3 linked regions of the Oryzias latipes genome follow. The protein of the gene in region 1 interacts with the protein of each later gene in a biochemical or structural test. Links are inferred from orthologs where the notes say so. Each region holds a gene or a part of one and is shown in the gene's direction. Other genes may lie near its edges.

Region 1 (3,649 bases):
GAAAAAGGGAGAAAAGTTGTAGTCTTTACATGAGATTTTCACCGATGTATCACTAATGAACCACGTTAAAACCACGGAAAAAGTACGAATAAACCACGCACAGAGAATACGTAAATCCACTGAGAACATGAACTGTTCGTGATTATCGCGCTGTTTAAATGTAATTCATAAGCGATTCGTGCGTCAGTTAGTTAACTTAAGTTAACTAAGTTAGTTTTTTCACCTAAGTTTAACGTTATGTGTTCATATTATACACAATGTAAAAGTTATACATCTGTGGGACATGCGTGAAAAGTCTGTTAGAAATACCTGTAACGGCATCACCCGACTGTAACAAACTACATGAAAAAAAAGAGCAAGTTAAAATGTTTTGTTTTCAGGCCAGTTTTTGGTTCCTGGGAGCTAATAGTTTTTCTTATTTTAATAAGCAGATCACCTACATAGGTCAATTTTATTTATTGTTATGTAGAACCAATAAATGCATTTTGTAAGTAACTTTTTTCTGCCTTAGTTTTTTGCACCGAAAAAATACCTAAAAATAGATAGATCAAAAAGGGAGAAATTCAGCTGTCCAGCAGCAAAACACAAGCCTCAACTAAGCAGGTTAGTAGAATACCGGAATTAGAATACGTTTGTGTACACAGAACAAAAACAGTCTTCTGTTTGAGAAAAATAAACTGCATCCACTGTTCCCTGATAGGAATATTTTTTGGAAATAGCTTTCCTTCACAACCTAACCCACATTTTTTTTTTTTTGCTACTTACTAAATAAACTCAAGATCAGGTGGTTTCCCTGTGAAGCCGCTCAGAACACACTGACTGTTAACTCCTCTACATGCTGTACCAACCTCTGCTGGATGCTTTGTTTAGCAATCTAAGATTACCCGACATCGCTGCTTTAGATTTTTCTGAGATTATTACACACACTGGAAATGCTCCACAGCCCTCTAAAGATTGAAGAATAGTTTTTCATGTTTGTTTATAACACATTTGAAACTTAAAAATATGTGTTGGACAACTGTTACTTTTCATAAAATCCTCACTAAAAAAATACCTTTAGGTGTTAAAGCTTCACTATTGGGAGCCTATCCTGCAAAGAAGACACCACAAAAGAGAACATCGCAAAGTAGATAATAACAAAAAGGCATATGGGAAACATTAGTTATAATAAATGTTGTAAACATACCATCAATTACATTTTGATTTTCTTTCAGAAGCAACAAAATGCTTTAAATCACATTTAAGTTCAAGATTTTCAAGAGTTTGATGTTTGTCTTCAAGCTTTTTGCTTAGGAATGTGAGAGAGTCTGTGAGAAATGACATGTGAAGCTATTTAGGCATCCTCATGTGGACGATTCTTCAAATGCATTTGAAGTTTAGAGAACAACTGCTCCCTTGAATCCAGAAGGAGCAGATTCTTTGCAAAGCAAAAGGTCTCGGTGATTAACTTGACTGTGAAGTGGGTGTTTGTGTGTGCAGATGCGTCAGGGTCCAGAGAAAGCAGTCCTGGCTGTGTTGACGGAGAAAGACCTTCTGCTGTTTCCATCACTGCCTGAAAACAAGCAGAGCCTCAGCAGCCCCACCAAGAGCCACCCGCTCATCACCACCAGGTTCTCACATGGATGTGTGGCTTAGGACTTTTGCTCTCATCTTTTTTTTCTGCCGTCCAGTAAACCAGTTTGCTCTCTTTCTTTTCTTCCCTGTTACACATGTTCACTCCTTCCACATCTAAACTGCTTTACAACATCACACCTCTGGGGAAAAACTATATTTTTAGCAGAATCTATGAGTCATATTTTTCTCACTTCTTCCTCTCTTACATGCCTCATTTCCATCTTTTTTTTCTTGGCTAGAGCATCTGTAATAGTTCTTAACAGGTGTCTTTTCCAGCCGCAGTCCAGTAATATTTCCTCCCCATGCGCTCAGATTGGTCCACTCCGGTCCAGGAAAAAGTTGCCTGCATGCGGACTCTGAGCTGTCCTTTGGCCTGCGATCAGGAACCAGACAGGGTGTGGAGACTCACGTGTTCCGGGTGGACTCTGCGAAAGAGCTGTCCGCTTGGACCCATTTGTTGGTGGAGGGTTGCCACAACGCTGCTGAGCTCATCAAAGAGGTCACCACGGGTACAGAACCTTCCAGAAAATAAGTTTTCATGTTGCTCTTAAGGCGTGCTGTGCAGTTTCTTCGTGACTCAACACCAGAGGTATTCTCTGCAGATCCCATAGGATTGCTGTTTTTTCTCTATAAGGATTTTTATTCTATTCTAGGAAAAAGGAGAACGGAAATCCAAAGTTTCTAAAGTAGAAAAAAAAAAAATATATATATATATATATATATATAAACTTTTGAAACTTTGGATTTTTTTCTCTGTATTTATCCTAATCTAGGTTAATCTAATCGGACTATTTTCAATTTTTATGGCTTTTTAAGCAAAACTTAAAAACCAAAACAAAACATTTAGTGGATGTAGTTTTTGCAATTGCACATTTGAGCATATCCAGTTTCACTTCCTATACTCATAACGCCCTCTGCTGTTTGCATGGGGGTAGTGCGGAAAACTTTATTAGAAAATGATCTCAGCATGTCTTAATTGTATTTGAAATGAAATAAAAATTAGAAGCTACTATGAAAAATAAATAAATAAATAACTTCTTATTTTATTTAAAAAAAAAACACCTTTCACCTTTATTTATTGTTTCTGCCATTGCAGCCTGCAGTTGGAACGGGAAAGAGTGTACTTTGGGAGTGCACATCGACGAGGGTTTCACACTTTATACAGAAGAAATGGGAGTCAGGAAAAGCATTCTCCTCCAGCAGCCCTTTGAGCGCCTTCGAATGTCATCAGATGACGGAGTTCGAATGATGTTCCTCGACTTTGGAGGCCCTGAGGCTGAGCTTGTCAGACATACCTTTTTATTTTAAAATTACAGATGCAGTATTCAAAGTCGAAACAATTCTTAAAACTAAAGCAAACTAAAATAAAGAAGTCATTTAAGATATGTGGCTAAATGTAATATTAATTTTGATAGGAAAGTCAAATATGTCCCAACGTTAAAGCCCAACAATAAGGGATTGTTTACTTTTTCTGTCAATTTTAATGGGAAAAGGAAGCAACACAAACCAGTACATTAGGCTTCATAAAATATCTATTGTAAAAGTGTTCCCAGTAATCTTTTAGTTATGATTATAACGTTTTAGCCTAAATCAAAAAGTCCTGTTGTTATCTAGGACATAGTTTTTTCATAGCAGCATGAGTTTTTTTTTTTTTTAGAAATTCACCTTCGAGTTGTGGGCGGAACCGTTACAGCGGAGCAGTACTGCTCCTCTTACTCTCTCTCTTGCTGAGAGCTTTCTGTTTACAAGCTCTCCCGTTAGCTTGCAGCCGCTCACATCCCCAACTTAAAAGAAGAATGTGTGTGAGTCTGCTCCTGATTCAGGGCGATTGAATAAAAAATACTCAGAAATGCAAAGTCAAGCTTAATTTTCTTTGTATATGTCCTCATCATGAGAAAAATGCCACAATGACATGTTAAAAACACAGAAACAGCTATTTTCAACAGAGTGGGTCTTCGAACTGAACCTAATATTAGACATGTTGAATGTTTTCATTTCATTTTTCACCATTTTGACCTCATTTTCCTCTAAGTGA
Region 2 (4,220 bases), on another chromosome or scaffold:
TAAATAGATTTATGCTTACTCTTAATTTAGGAAGGTTTCTTACATTTTTTTTAAATAATTGGTCTGCCATTTTTGCCCAGGTGTTGAAACTATTGAAACGTTTATGTGACTTTGATTTGTGAGTGAAGGGGATTTTGAGCTATAGTTGGGTGCCACTGGGTGCCATGCTGAAAGTTCAGCCACATAAAGTCAGATAACTTTTACCTTCCAAAAAAATGATGTAATGTTTTCCATGAAGTAACTTTTACTCAGAAATAAGAAATGTCAGAGAAAGTTCTCCTTTTTCTGCATCAAGTCACAGGATAACCATAAGTTCTGTGCAGATCATCCCTTTGGTGCATGCTAGCATCATCATAAATTCATGTCATTAGTCATGTGGACTTTATAAATATAACAATGTTGTAACTTCAATGTGTTTCTCATAAATATGAATGTGTTGGTCACAGAGGGGTCACATTCCCTTGTTAATGCACCTCACTGGGCTTGTTTTCTGCATATACAATATTATTTGAAAAAGAAGAATCTTTTCCTCTATAAAATCTCTGAATTTCATGTTCCATAGTCATTAAAAATGTTAGCGTGTTCATTTTTATAGAAAAAGAAAAAACGGGTACAATTACACTAAAAGGTGACTATTACATTTTGGATGAAGGCAGGGTACAACCATTCATACAGGGACACATGTAGCTAAATACTCTAAGCACCCTCATAAAGACGTCTTAAAATCTTGAATTTAACATGTTTTTAAGCTGGATTGTTAAATTAAACCTGTATACATTTTAAAAGTACATCACCTAAAGGGTATCAAGTATATGAATGAGAAGCCAGCACCTAAACTTTGGTCATAAATCTATTAATTATTTCACAGATTATTTAATGGTCGGGAATTCTATATCATAAAGTTAATTTTTAAAAATCTGTCTCCCTGTTAAAAATTACAATGTTATGTGCCAATTTGCAAAGCATTTTTAAAGAAAAAAAATAGTATAACATTTTGCTTTATTTATAAAAGGATGTACTTGGAATTACTTTCAGAAGTTGATGGACTTCAACGAGCCTTTTTCATTATGTTCCTGCATATTATATGTTGCCATTCTTATATAACATTTAAAGTTAATGCAAAGTTTGGCATACTCTTTGGAACAATAGAAAAGATGAGGGCTTACTTTCCTGCACGCCAACAAAAAAGCGTTTATGGATAAACCCAAGCCGCGCGGGCAGACGCACCTGAAAAAGCGCAACCACCTCCTGTCCTTCTATTGGCTGCTGGAAGTCCTGCCTCCTAGTGGGTGTTACTCTGAGCTTCACTTAGAATAAAAATCCACCGGCCAATGTCAAACTGAGTGATTGACAGTGATCTGGAGGAAAGATGGCAAACTCGGAGTGTTCCAGCGGCCCAGTTACGCACGTTTTCAGGGGGACATTTATCCACTCGACCCCCGAAACGGCGCTGCAGGTCCTGGAGGACGCGCTCCTGGGAGTGGACACTGCCGGGAAGGTTGGTCCCTTTCTGAAATGAAAATAAAAACAAAACGAAATATTTGCATTTTTGCGTTTCACTGGTTTTAAAAATAAACGAATGTATGTTAATGTTAATTTTCGCAGCATTTGTTTACTTTAAATCCCCGTGAATCTAAAGCAAAGTGCAGGTCTTTTTTTTCAACTGCTATTAATCACATAACCTAATAGTCTAGTTATGGTAAACTTTTATTAAATACTGTTTAAGTTTTTGAACACAATAAAAGGATGAGGCTAAATAAACAGCAAAACTTCTCCCTAGAAAGTAAAATAAAAATTAAGAAAATACTAAAGTTAGTTTTTCTCAGTTTGCACTCAAGCATTATAAAACAATGTTGCAGCATTACTCTGAGAATAGTGCAACAATATTGCCCTAAAATACCTCCTGAGTGGGGATCTTCCAAGTACAGTCTATTCAAAGTGTTATTAATTCTTTTCAAATTTATTTTTACATTGCACAGAATTTTATCAACATTTTCACCTTTCACATCTTGCAATTTTCAAAAAGAATTTACCTGATTTCTTTTTGGCTTGTCAGATTTCTTTCATTGGAAAGGGTGAAAACTTACTGGAACTGTCTCAGAAGTTTGGATTCAACCCATCAGACGTCAATCAACTGGCACAACAGTAAGTCAAATCAAAACCTTTAGTTGTAGATTTACAAGTTTTGATTTTAGTTGATTGGGATGGATGAGTTTGAACACGATCGTCTTGAAAAAGGACCAAAAATGAATGAATGAACTCAACGTAAAGGGGAATCTGCATGGGTAATAGCATCATAATAGCAATAATATTGGTCGGCAAAGACGGGATGTAAAAAACACATCTTTGAAACATAAATGTGCATATCTTGCTTTAAAATATATATTATAAATGAAATATGATTTGAAAAATGCATTTTTTATCTAACTTTAATTTGATTCTGCAGTGAGTTCTTCATGCCAGGAATGATTGACACACACATCCATGCATCCCAGTACAGCTACGCAGGCACAGCCTTGGACATGCCTTTACTGCAGTGGCTCAATACTTACACCTTCCCTGTGGAGTCACACTTCAAGGACTTGGAGTTTGCCAAGAAAATCTACACACAAGTAGTGGTGAGTTTTGGCAAATGGTATCTTTGAGACTAAACAGTCTCAGCATGGCCCTATAACAAAGGTTGTTGGGTCATTTTAGTGTCATAAAGACACCGTATGCTTGCAGTTTTTCATGTGGCCTTTGAGATTTGTAACCTAAACTGTACAGGCATTTAAAATGAGTGTTAATCCATGCTTTGGTTTCTGTGCTTTACAGAAGAGGACTTTAAGAAACGGAACAACAACTGCATGTTACTTTGCTACCATACATACAGATGCCTCTCTTCTGTTGGGTCAGATTGCAAGTAAGATTTCCTACATGCAAACCCACACATGCATTGATCCTTTTAAATATGGGCTTCCTCAAACAGCATGTCCCATCTCCAAAGAGTACACAAAAACACAGATTATTAAAAAAAAGAAAACGTACTTTTAAAGCATAATTTTCAGACAACTTTAGAAACTCATTGTGACGATTTAAGTAAATTTTTCCCACTTTATTATGCAGCACCTCTTCCAGTTGTACAGTATCCGTTAAAAGTAGAGCACCAGCTCAAAGTACAATACAAGTTCAGGTATCTTAACTGTTTTAAGGAGAATTGCTTCTCTCTTCAGTTAAAAATCCTGTAAAATCTGAATGGAGCTTCACCTTTATGCTTTGTCCTTATCAATGTGCTTGCGTCATTCAGAACACATGGTCACATAAATGTGTAACGATGCAGCCGAGCTGAACCAAACATTGGCTTTGACAGTTTTACAGTCATTTTATGTAATCAGGTACATTGAACTCTAACCTTTGTCCTCCTTACAGCTAGCTGTTACTTCTTGAACATCAGTTTTCAGCATTGGTACATTTATTATCTTGCATCCATGTGCTCTTTAAAATTTGTACTTTCGTTTCCCCTTTTGTGCGTTGTATCAGGCAGTTCGACTCGGTATAGCATTCAGAGTTAGATTAAGACAATGACTAAGCATGTAAAATCAGATAAAATTTTCCTTGGTCATACAATTCCTTTCAGAAAATCTGATATAAATGTGCATTCTCTAACTTCATTCCAGATGTTTAGTCACAGTAGCACAAACAGGCGCAGCAACAGCTCTCCACCCTAAGTCACCCGCTGATCATGCACTGAATCGGTGACACTTGGGGAAGCACATCCTTGTTACACACATGCAAAAAGCGTCTGAAAGATTTGTATCTCAGCATCTCAGATGAGGAAGAATACATCCGGCCAGGTTAAAAACAAACTTAATTCAAAACAAATTAACCTGGTTTTAGATTTTTCCTTTTTTTTCAAATTAAAAAAAATAACTAAACGTGCTGTACAAAGGTCTACCACATGCATGCTCAGGTTACTAAAGAGTGGAACAAGGATGGGATTGGGTCTAAAAAGTAAAAAGTAAAAACTAAACTATACTGATAAAATTATTTAAAAAAATATCATTATTAATCAAATATCCTGGGGTAATTAAACACAACAGTGGACTGAAAAAGTGTTGACACTGGAAATGTCATTGCAGGTCATGACAGGAAACACTGATGTAACAAATCATATTGGTCAAGGCTGTGTTCCACTTTGCCTTTCCTCCTGCAGCTTTGCTTGCTTTCAGTCCTCATCCCCT
Region 3 (4,130 bases), on another chromosome or scaffold:
GGGCTGCTTTGCTGCATCTGCCACAGGATGTCTTGAAGTTGTGAAGGTCAAATGAGATCTCCAGATTATCAAGGCATTCTGGGTAGAAATGTGCTGCCTAGTGTCAGAAAGCTTGGTCTCAGTCGCAGGTCATGGGTCTTCCAACAGGACAACCATCCAAAACACACAGCCAGAAACCCCCAAGAATGGCTCAGAGAAAAGCGTTGGACTATTCTGAAGTGGATTCTATGAGCCCAGATCTGAATCCCATTGAACATCAGTGGAAGGAGCTGAAACATGCTATTTGGAGAACCGTCAAACCTGAGACAACTGGAGCAGTTTGCTCATGAGGAGGGGGCCAGAATACCTGTGGACAGGTGCAGAAGGCTCATTGACAAATACAGAAACCGTTTAGTTGCAGTGATTGTCTCAAAAGGTTGTGCAACAAAATATGAAGTTATGGTTACCATCATTTTTGTCCAGCCCTATTTCATTAGTTTGTTTTTTTTAAATAATTCTGTTCATCAAAAACTCAAAAGTAATGGTTGATTCTGATTTTTCAATTTTCAATACATATTAATTTATTGTTCCCTTTGAACCTTTCAAGTCATTTCAGTGAACATTGTGGACTTCCTTTCTTTAACTGAGGGGTACCAACTATTTTGTCCACCACTGTATGTGATACAGTTGCAGTGCTAAACATTGTAATCATTAAATAGACTGCATTAGATCGTATTATTACGATGAAAGACACATTAATATCCAGGTACAGTTTTTTAAGTCATACTCCTAAAAAAAAAAGTTTTCCAATAAAATATCTGGATACGTATCGTATCGCCGCTGTCCCCCTTCAGGGGTCGCCACAGAAAATCCGCTTTTACTGATTTACTCAGAGTTTGTAGCCGCTTTCAAGCGGTGGGGGTGTGGCCTTCTAAGAAGCTCCCTCCTGATTGGTGAGAGTGGTTGTCATAGAAACAATGACTCTGACCCATTTGGATCAAGAAAGTCAATTCAGTTGCCATTTTTGTCTGAATCACGTCCGTGTCGTGCAGAAATGGTGACTGAATCGACCCCCTCTGGTTGGAGCTGGTTGGAGCTTCATGGATGACGTCACTTAGTCCAGAACGGCGTAGGCCGAGCAGAACTGCAAACGTTTGGAGTTTCTGGAGCATTGTCATGGGACGAGTCTCTGCTCGTTTGGTCCACAAAAACCACAGGAATTCTGGAGGAATGTGACGTCATGAGCTTGGAGGTGGAAACGCCGCCAGCTCCAAGCTGAGGAGCATCAGTGACGACTGGAAACTTTCAGCGTTCATCATCTGAAACCTCAACTTGATTGTTTGTTTGTTTTTTTCATCACCAAAAGCTGACAGTTTGTTTCCAGCGGTGTGTGATGGCTCGATGACGTCACAGAAGCACGAGGAGAGTCGTGTTTCCTTCAGGGTCTTTGACCAGCGCGGCTGAAAGGAACAAAGAAGATCCTGGAGAAAAGGCTCCTTCAAAGGACAGAGTGCCGCCCGGGGGCCGCCCCCCCCCCCCCCACAGGAGAGGACTCGGACACAAAGGCAGAGAAGGCGAGGAGCTGGTCACGTGGGAGGACGGCTTTGGGAGAGACAAGGAGAGAGGGGGGGGGGGGGCATTCTTTGAAAAGGACATTCAAAGCGTGAAGAAGAGCTGGAGTCCAGAGTCTTCATCAATCTCCCACATAATCCCCGCCCACAAATCAGAGACTCCTGCCGCTCTGCAGAAACTATGTCCTAGAAAACAGAACTAAAACGTCAGAGGATGAAAAGGGAACTGGGAACGCTCTGAAAACAGATCAGAGGACTCGACCTCTGAGACCGGTGGGTGTGAAGGGTTCCCTGGAGAACCCAGAGAACATATTGGTTCCGCATGGAGATATTTGCACAAATGTTCCTTAGAAGAGTTCACGTCCCTGTGTTTTTGGAGGGGGGGGGTGTCTCTGAATGCTGACTGACAGCACAGAAATGCAACCGCCGTGCGCGCGCTTTGTGCCACAAACGGAGCGCGTCTCCGCTGCTGGAGAGAGGGAGGGAGCGCATCTCTCTCTCCTCTCAGACGTGTTTCGGTTTTCCGCGGCGGCTGAGCGCGCGAGCCTCACTCCTGACGTCAGGAGTGATCATCGCGGCTGCTCTCTAATCCGGGTCTGCGTCTCTTCCCGCGGTCTGGATGTTGACATCTCTCCCAGCTGCGGCGCTCCGGAGCGGCGGCGTTCCACGCATGCCCCCGCGCGCGGAGCAGCCGTGATCCAGAGCTCAGCTCCGCGCGCACAGCCCCCCCCCCCCCCCCCCCCCCTGTATCCGGACTCAAACCTGCGGGATGTTCGGGCTCCACGCGCCCCCTCAGCTTCTGCTTCAGTGACCGTGGATGGCAGCGGCATGGAGATCGCCTTGGTGAGCTTTGAAAACGGCGGCGCCAAAGGCGGCGGCGGGAATGCCGAGGAGAACTGCCGGCACGCGCTGGAGGTCCCTCAACCGGGCTTCGTCCAAACGGCGCTGGGAGAGGAGCGCGGGAAGGAGCTGAACACCCGCGGGAGCCCCCGGCAGCAGCTGAGCCCCTGGAAGATCAACGACATGAACACCACGCTGAGCTGCAGCGAGAACGCCATGGATGCGCTTTTACGCGCGGACCACAGCCCCCACCTGTTCGACGAGGACCTGCTGGACATGGACGTGGACGCGGAGAGCAACGAGCGGGTGCTCATCAACATCGCCGGGCTGAGGTACGAAACCCAGCTGGGCACTCTGAACCAGTTCCCGGAAACGCTGCTGGGAGACCCGGCCAAGAGGATCAAGTACTTCGACCCGCTCCGGAACGAGTACTTCTTCGACCGGAACCGGCCCAGTTTCGACGGGATTCTGTACTTTTATCAGTCCGGGGGGAAGATCCGCAGACCCGTCAACGTGTCCATCGACGTGTTCGCCGACGAGATCCGGTTCTACCAGCTGGGAGAAGAGGCCATGGAGCGGTTCCGCGAGGACGAGGGCTTCATCAAGGAGGAGGAGAAGCCGCTGCCCCAGAACGAGTTCCAGAAGCAGGTCTGGCTCATCTTCGAGTACCCGGAGAGTTCGAGTCCGGCGCGGGGCATCGCCATCGTGTCCGTGATCGTCATCACCATTTCCATCATCACCTTCTGCCTGGAGACGCTGCCGGAGTTCCGGGACGAGCGCGAGCTGGCCGTGAGCGTCCGGCCGGACAACGGCACGGCGCCGCGGCCCTCCCTCACCTTCTCGGACCCGTTCTTCATCGTCGAGACCACCTGCGTCATCTGGTTCACCTTCGAGCTGTTCGTGCGCTTCTTCGCGTGTCCCAGCAAGTCGGAGTTCTCCAAGACCATCATGAACATCATCGACATCATGTCCATCATGCCTTACTTCATCACGGTGGGCACGGAGCTGGCGGAGCAGCAGGGCCAGGAGCACCAGAACGGCCAGCAGGCCATGTCTCTGGCCATCCTGAGGGTCATCCGCCTGGTCCGGGTCTTCCGGATCTTCAAGCTGTCCCGCCACTCCAAGGGGCTGCAGATCCTGGGCCAGACTCTGAAAGCCAGCATGCGCGAACTGGGGCTGCTCATCTTCTTCCTCTTCATCGGAGTCATCCTCTTCTCCAGCGCCGTGTACTTCGCCGAGGCGGACGAGCCCGAGTCCCACTTCTCCAGCATCCCCGACGCCTTCTGGTGGGCCGTGGTTACCATGACGACGGTGGGCTACGGGGACATGCGGCCGGTGACGGTCGGGGGGAAGATCGTGGGCTCGCTGTGCGCCATCGCGGGGGTTCTGACCATCGCGCTGCCGGTTCCGGTCATCGTGTCCAACTTCAACTACTTCTACCACCGCGAGACCGACCAGGACCAGTCCTCCCTGAAGGACGAGCCCGCAAGCGGCCGCGCCAGCCCCGAGCCGCGGCGCCGGGGCAGCCGGGCCTCCGCCAAGTCCCAGGACGCGGAGAAGAACGAGGGGGGCGACGGGGGGGAGAAGAACATGAAGGCGAACAGCAGCGTGGACTTCAAGAAGTCCCTGTACGCCTTCTGCCTGGACACGCGCGAGACAGACCTGTAGACCCGGACCCGCCCGAGCCCGCAGAACCGCCCCCCAGCCTCACCCCCCTCCCCCGGGCTGCACAGGCTCAAA

What was found.
Region 2: the proteins of snta1 (region 1) and gda interact in a test that uses a peptide from one of them, tested with the Homo sapiens proteins (2 studies listed by BioGRID and IntAct). The link is inferred for Oryzias latipes from reciprocal best matches to the Homo sapiens genes SNTA1 and GDA.
Region 3: the proteins of snta1 (region 1) and potassium voltage-gated channel subfamily A member 1-like interact in a test that uses a peptide from one of them, tested with the Homo sapiens proteins (2 studies listed by BioGRID and IntAct). The link is inferred for Oryzias latipes from reciprocal best matches to the Homo sapiens genes SNTA1 and KCNA5.

The regions. Positions count from the first base shown.
Region 1 is NC_019863.2:11,939,968-11,943,616, reverse strand, and holds part of snta1 (alpha-1-syntrophin), read left to right. Parts: intron 1-1,479; coding exon 1,480-1,610; intron 1,611-1,926; coding exon 1,927-2,123; intron 2,124-2,710; coding exon 2,711-2,898; intron 2,899-3,649. UniProt on the Homo sapiens protein: Adapter protein that binds to and probably organizes the subcellular localization of a variety of membrane proteins. May link various receptors to the actin cytoskeleton and the extracellular matrix via the dystrophin glycoprotein complex.
Region 2 is NC_019867.2:16,716,884-16,721,103, forward strand, and holds the start of gda (guanine deaminase), read left to right. Parts: upstream 1-1,317; 5' UTR 1,318-1,369; coding exon 1,370-1,498; intron 1,499-2,056; coding exon 2,057-2,145; intron 2,146-2,446; coding exon 2,447-2,618; intron 2,619-2,814; coding exon 2,815-2,902; intron 2,903-4,220. UniProt on the Homo sapiens protein: Catalyzes the hydrolytic deamination of guanine, producing xanthine and ammonia.
Region 3 is NC_019881.2:23,512,042-23,516,171, forward strand, and holds the start of potassium voltage-gated channel subfamily A member 1-like, read left to right. Parts: upstream 1-1,199; 5' UTR 1,200-1,946; coding exon 1,947-4,058; 3' UTR 4,059-4,130. UniProt on the Homo sapiens protein: Voltage-gated potassium channel that mediates transmembrane potassium transport in excitable membranes. Forms tetrameric potassium-selective channels through which potassium ions pass in accordance with their electrochemical gradient.